Linked DNA regions of Drosophila melanogaster. The protein of the gene in region 2 purifies or fractionates together with the protein of the main gene of each other region. This does not show direct contact. Each region holds a gene or a part of one and is shown on either strand. Other genes may lie near its edges.

Region 1 (3,609 bases), on a different chromosome or scaffold from region 2:
CGATTTGGTTGAACAACTCATGAACTCTGTTCTCAGCAAAGAAATGAGTGATATATACCAAATTCTGCGAATCGTCTGACATTTTTCCTGTGTGCATCAGTTCCTAAACAATTAGTTTAGTTTTCCATCAAGTTCTTTAAAAGAATATTAGGTTCTTGGAGAGCAATAGGTTCTCTAGTACTAGTACTAAAAACAAATGAAATATCTCACCAATTACAATATATCAGTATCAGATCGCTTGGAATATGAAATTTCGATTGGGTGTTAGTTTAAAGTCGAAAAGTTTAGTCAACAAATCTAAGTTGTCGTTTTTTGACAAAAATTAGCAAAATGCTTACGTATGATGTATGATATATATAAATAATCTTTCATTAATTGCAATGATATCAGAAAAAAAGAAACTGAGCAACACGATCAATGGGTTCTGATGGTAATTAGTTGATTTAGGTTACAATTGATACTTACTAGTAAGTGGCATTCCATTGCATCCCCTTAATTAGTTCCCAAATGCACAAAAACTTTTATCCGTGGCGTGGTCTTAACTATTTGTATTTGCCAATTTAAGGATGTTAAACGTGAATGAAAATTGTAAACAGTTAGTGTATAGTACAGCGACAATTGACCCTTACGAACGTATAGTTGATAATTGATTGCGGATAATAACTAATTTGCACTTAAATCGATCTATGTATAAAGACAAATGTGGATGGTGTTTATTCGGCGGCTGCGATTGGTATCCCCACTATTCAGTTTCTACTGCGTGTAGTCGGTGTCGCCCTTCGAATAGTGTATGCAAGCCAACACGGTGTCCAGCAGGTACAGTGCGCCCTCGATAACGCACAGCGAGCCCATGGCAATGCCCACTTGACGCTCCGAGTTCACATACAGGAATCCCTCGTCGGACATGTAACCCTTCCAGTAGTGGAGTGCCACTCCGCCCACGGCGATCCACATGATGCAGCCAACCACGTTCATGATGGTGTCGCACAGCTCTCTGAAAAACGGAAAGCCATTGAAAACAAACAGTTGTGAGTTGAGAGTGTGGAATTAAGGGCGGAAAATACAAGAAAAGGAATAAGATGCGGGTCAAAGTTCAGCTATAATCAATATCGGCATTCAACATACCCCTTATGTTTGGTTGTGCCGAAGGCAAAGGCAATGGTGTGGCATCCAGTGTAAATCAAGAATCCAACCATGACGCCTGAGGCTACGATTTCCGCATCGGCGCTCTTCTCCTCGTTTAAGTTCCACGTGCCGCCGATGCCCAGGAATTCGCCACCATCGCCCCAACGGTACAAGAAGATGATCACCAGATTGATGATCTGCGAAAAAGGAGCGCACAGGAGAGCAATTAAATGAGGTCACAATTGGGAATGGGAATGAATGAATCACTTCTTGGCCACGCCTCGCCTTGCCGTACAACTCGGCGTATGAGTAACATTGCTAATACGCCAGGACTGATAAAACGCGCGCTTATCTATCAGCCGAGTTATTGCGACCACAAACAGGCTATTGCTCAATAGGAAGGGACCAAAGAAGCCCAAAACTTACCAGCTTCAGGGCCTTGATGAAAATAGAGCCTACAGTCTCCACGGACACCATTTCGCACTAGATATGCTGATTGCTCTTATCGCTGAGCTGGAATTTGGGCAAATGCTTTAGTTCACAGAGGGGTTTCTCCCAGTCAAGGGGCACTCACAATCTTTTCTGTAATTTTCACGCGGAAACTACAGCGAAATGATTCGTTTTCGTATCGTTGTCGTTCGTCGACTAAACTGAAAAATATCACTGAAAGGCAACCAACCAACCTGTCGCGCCCAGTTCGTCGTGTCGCCAAGAATTTGTAGCTTTTGCAATCAGAGCATACACGGTCAGCGATAAGATAAGATAGGGCTCACGATAACAGGTGCCGTTCGAAATGGGTTACTAATTCGTTGACGGTTCAACATGTTCAGGCTCCGAAGCCCAATGAAACCCAGATGCGCATGCGCCAGCCCCACCCGCGTATCTTATCAAAACGGCCTTATCGCAGCTCTGTCGCCTTACATCGCGATATATCAGGTGCTCCGATTTGCCGCTTTCCACAGCATTGTTACACATTATTCATGGCGGCCACAAAGCCACAAAACGGGGAAACATACCCGCGGCTCTGAGAGACCGGAAACAATTATTCTTGCGTCATCGATGTATTTCTGAAATACTTTCGTGGTGACCCATTCCCATTCCCACTGATAAAGCTCCCGGTGGTGCATCCCTCGAACAGATTAAAAATTCACTGACCTTGTCACGATTCCGATGATCGATAGCCCAGTGGATTCCAGCTACTGATTAAAAAGTCTCAGACACACAAAAAGTCACTGGAACCTAATCTGCATTTCAATTATCACAACCCTAGCACAATAATCGTGGCTGTAGGTGGCCCATGTTCGAGATTTCGAATCAATTGGAAGAGCACAATGCAAAATGATAGGAGCAATTGGGGAGCAAAAAAGCAACTTGCGGTTGATGTGGGGTTCCTCGATTTACATATTGCCTATTTATCACAGTAAAATGGTGTATAAAAATACAACTCTTGGATGAATGGTGCGTTTTAAGAACACTGTGTAACATGAAAAGCAAACAATTTTCAGGTCACGAAGAAAAGAAAGAACTTAGTTAGAAATAGTTACAGTCCCTTGTTTCTAAATTCAATGTTTAAAAACTAATTGAAAATGGATGCATATGGTTTTTGGACAAATGAATAATTGCATAAGTTTGGAGGGCGTGGGAAATTAACTATACTGCACATTTGGCACCTCGTGCCCTGTGTTTTGTATTTAAGGCCGACATTAAAATGTGCTTGTATAAATCATAAGTTCAGAACATGGAACAAACATGAGATCACACCTCATCAAGGGTTTTTTTTATGACCCGCATTGAGTAGCAAGTATACACACTGATATTCATGAGTACTATATATAAACAAGTATTATTTACGCTGTGCCGAGGGTATTATTGGATTTCATTTCAGAAAATTTAATTTTAGCATACAACTAACTTTCCAACCTAAGCTTTTCAAAATAAATATGTTGTTTTAGCGGAAATTGTCTCTTTTGTATACAAGTTTTTAAAATGTGATTAAACGTGCTTGAATGCCTTAAGAATAGTATTTGCTTAGGGAAAACAAGTAATTGAATAAGATTTATTTAATTAAAGGTAATAAAATTAAATTTGAGCAAGGTACATGGATACTGATTTATTTACATAGATCTGCTTTCCATTTTAAATGCAAGTTGTCTGATGCCTGGATAAGCAAAGGAATATCTTCCCAAATCAAGGCCAAAGGTTGTCGAGTTCTTTGTTTTCGTTCCCCCATTGCGAATGCCGCTCAGCACCGCGGATTCTTCCCCACTTCTCAAATCCCCATGTGGAGTCCCAGAAAGCAAGCGACGTTAAATTTGGAATTTGTCTCCTCTGCATTTGGTTTGTTGCGATGAATCATCAAGCATTCAGAGAGGTGGGGAAAAATCGGCGTCAGAACAACAAAAACCGGCATGCAACTTACACCAACACAAGTGCAGTTCTCGTGTGGTGGCCTCTCTTAATTAAGTAAGAAGAGAATAAAGAGCG
Region 2 (3,930 bases):
ACAATCTCCTCATTCTAATTATAAATTCGGGGTACTGGGTGTAGCGCCATATATTTCGGGTTTATCAGATTTCAGAGTGAAAACATGTGATAAGCTGAGAACGTGGAGATTAGCTTGGGTAGGTAACAGGAAAGACGGTAACATTAAAACCATAAAAAATATTCCACCAGTCAACAGGAGCTGTTCTTTCTCGATAGTATGAGAGGCATAAACAATGAACTTCAATTTAAAAAATATTTTGCGAAATTAAGTTAAACCTGAAGTTAGTGAAAATAATCCTAGGTATCCATACGTATTCCCGTATATACCCTCCGATTACAGGGTATACAAATGATATATCTTCTTTAAACTGGTTTTCGAATTCACCCACAGCAATTTGCACTTGATCTCTTGTTCAGGCTGTTGTTTTATTGCAGTTTCTGCGGGGATTGTTGTGGGTCAGCTGCTTGAATTCCGCTGATAAATAGCCGGCTGGAAAATCCGACACGAACGCACACACACGCACACAATGTCACTTCGTCGGTTTTTCTTTTTGCTTGGGTAGATTTCCACTGCCCATTCATATGAATGTTTGATCCCGAAAGACTCTTATCGATGCGATGGTTATCTCGACGGATGAGGTTTTTATTGAAGTCTTGGCAACACACTTGTTTACAACCGTACCTTGAAATTCACGCTGGGCAATCGGCTTATAGCCCCAAACGCCCTTTTCGCTGTGATAGCACCGCGATTGTGGGCGTGGCAGTTTTGCGATTCCCGCCTCCGAAAGCGCCAGATAACGCAGCATGCTGATGGATTAAAAACGAGGCGTGTATGCCGGATCACCTGATAAGTTCGCAGCGAAATCGCGGTCTCTTCTCGCCGCCGTTCGACCCAGAACTAAGGGCAATTCACTTTTGTTTGAAGCCGGGACCCCCATATTCCAAATAAACTAAATTGCTGATAAGCTGGGAAATAAACCGGGAGAGAACAAATCCCTCCGAAAAGTAGTGCCTACTTTTGGGCTGGTGGTGTGATATGATCGCTGTTAATTAACAGAGCGCTTGTTAAACACATGTATGAGATGATAATGAATTTCAAAATAGTTTCTTATCAGTTAACTAAAGCTGATAATGCAACAGGTTCGTTGGCCAATAATGGATTGCCTTTGAGAGAGGGAAGAGTTGTATCCATTAAATTAGTCATACATATGCTCAGGAATATATTGAAATGAACTGTACCATAGTTAAAAACATTTTTATATTTATATATATATTTTATACATAATTATGCTGTCGTTTGTTTAAAAGATATATGGGGTACATTTTCAACACCAATTTTCCCCTAACAATAACCACTATAAAAATATATCTTATCCTTCGATTTTTATTATAGCAATGTTTATCTGCATTATTGTTTTATAATACCCTTTTAGTCACACAAGTTGATCCTCAAAACGCTTTGATTTTATTAATTTGGAGTTCCCCACTCTGCACTTGATTTCTTCATTAATGAGGACCATGACACTTTCATGTCCTAATGAAATCCATCAGTAGGCTTTTTTACGGGCGGCTGATATTCATAACTCTAAAGCTTCATCGGAAATGCCTATTAATGGTCGGTAATGGGTCATTGTCTATAATTAAACCGGAAGCGTGCTCTCATCAATTTCGCATCACACACATACATGTTTAGGCTTTACAGCCCATTCAGCTTTTCACAAAATGGCCGCGTCATGAGTATGATTAACTGTAATGGAAGTGAATCACAAATCTGCCAGAGACCATTGTCAACAGAGAGAAATATAGGTAACGGTCCCACGAATGGGCATAAACAAATAGGTTGGTAAATTTGGAGCACAGAGAAGAGAGTGAAGCTTCCCGAAAAAGCCAAGCGGGCCGAAGAAGGAATGCGTTATCGGTGCGTAGTATTCCATTGATAAGATATGCCTAGCTTTATCTGGCCGATAAGGCAATGTTTCACAATCGAGTAGACGGCGACAGGTGAACTGAGTTTTGGCAACGCCCCGATCGGGCCGTTAGAGTTAACTTAACTTCAGTCTTAGCTGAGCGGCTCGCTGCAACGAACGTGTTTTCCTGCCTGGTAATTAAAGTTAAAATTGAAAATTGGTGACAAGTGATAAGAGAACTGATAAGCCATTGCCTTAACTGATGATGTCATCAAGTGAAAATTGTTAGAAAATGAGGATATCAGAGGAAAAATAGTGTACAAATTCGCATGAATTGAGTGCTTATTGAGTGATACTTTTATTGTGGATGCCTAATTGATGCCTTTGTGTTTTTCTTTTAGCAGTGAAACGAAAAAACGAATTACCAATTAAGTGACAAATCGAAATCAAGTGAACATGCGTTTCAAACTGTTTGTGGTTTGTGCGCTGGCCTGCGGGTTTATGGCCTTTGTCCTGGCTAACGAGAATATATCGACGGAGGAGTTCGAGGATCAAATAATCAATGCAGTTCCGGAGCCGGTCAAGGTGACTAAGCCCAAAGCTCAGGCGGAATTCGTTGAGGTTCCAAAGGCCACGCCCGCTCCCAAAAAAGCGGAAGCGGACAACCCGAAAACCAAACCACTGGCCCTGCAGAAGCCCACTCTGATTCCCGTGGTGCATGTCAGCAGTCGGGGAACAGATGATATCCTCACCGTCGCGGGACTGAAGCCCGAGAAAATGTTCGGAGCCCTCATCATGCCAAATGACTATTTGGGGGAGCTGTACGACGTGGACAACAGCGGCTACAATTGGGGTGAGTAGGTTTCGTTGTCCCTGGGCTGATTCAGTTCCACCCCATTACTCATACGCCGCGTTGACTATCTTATCAGAACAGCTCAGTGGGTTTCAGTTTGGTTTAGTTACCAATATTTGCTCGATAACCTGTGTTCGGGCATTCAGGTGTAGGTGCTGTAAGCCCCTCTCTCTCTCTCTCTCTCTCTCTCGCTCTGTGTTCTTCCCGATAAGATAATGCCCCAGGTTGAGGCATTAAAAAGCTAACGGTTTCTTGTTTTCCGCTTCGGCAAACAAAACAGGTGCGTGGTGGCATAGTGAATATACGCATATGTATGCACACGAATATAGGTGTGGACACGGCGGACAGCGGGAGCACGGAGTCTTGCGTGATTCAGTTTACAACCTGTGGTAGTGTGTGGATTTAGCAATTCTGTTTTATCAGTCCCCTAGAACTGATATATTGGCTATTCGGAATTGGAATTTTTGCCGTATTAGTCACAGTCATTTGTTAGAATGTAACTGTGTAATAAAAAAGGGTTTGGTCAGAAATAGAATATCGAAATATATATGTGGAATTACTCACCGATTGCAAAGGAGTAATGGTTTAAAAATATTGTAATATTTGTAATGCCTCACTTGCCAAGAACAAGACGCTTACATTTTGTTTCATATATATATTTATATTTTATCTTATATTTGAACTGTCTTTAGAAGCTTAGGCTAACTTATAACTAAAGTAAGGCAATCCTTTGGAACTTACAATTAACCTAGTTTCTGGACCTAAGCACTCATCGAGATGCGCTGCTCGTACTCCGCGATGCGCAATCTCACGGGAACCACTAGACTGAGGTCCTCCATGATGGCGTGGTTCTGGGTTCGTACTGAGGCACTGGAACTCTGGCGGGAGATGGTGGCCCTCGACTTGTCCATCGAAGGCTTGCGGCGCAGGGAGCACTTGCGCTGGCTGCCCCCCTTGCCCACGCCCATGGCTGGTACATGGGGAGTGGCAAACTGGGCGGTGGTGGCCGACAGTCTCTTGGGCTTGGGTGGTGGCACTTGTCCGGTCACGGAACCACTGAGACTGTGGTCGCTGCCCAGGAAACTGTTGGCGGTGCTGCTGTTGGCGGTGGTTGTGGCAACGTTTTGAGGACGGGCGGTGCGCAACATGGCTATGAAGCGGTTGTTGGTGGAGCTTGCTTGGGGCATCA

The links.
Region 1: the proteins of mesh (region 2) and Ssk purify together in Drosophila melanogaster (affinity purification with western blotting; one study listed by BioGRID). This does not show direct contact.

Annotation. Positions count from the first base shown.
Region 1 is NT_037436.4:20,186,705-20,190,313, reverse strand, and holds Ssk (snakeskin), read right to left. Parts: upstream 1,793-3,609; 5' UTR 1,603-1,792; coding exon 1,552-1,602; intron 1,323-1,551; coding exon 1,126-1,322; intron 995-1,125; coding exon 754-994; 3' UTR 535-753; downstream 1-534. UniProt on the Drosophila melanogaster protein: Required for assembly of smooth septate junctions (sSJs), together with mesh and Tsp2A. May be important for barrier function of the midgut epithelium.
Region 2 is NT_033777.3:31,193,869-31,197,798, reverse strand, and holds the start of mesh (mesh), read left to right. Parts: upstream 1-2,036; 5' UTR 2,037-2,082; intron 2,083-2,289; 5' UTR 2,290-2,344; coding exon 2,345-2,741; intron 2,742-3,409; exon of another isoform or gene 3,410-3,502; coding exon of another isoform or gene 3,503-3,930. Other genes in the region: CG1544 (uncharacterized protein), read right to left, coding at 664-787; bnk (bottleneck), read right to left, coding at 3,503-3,930.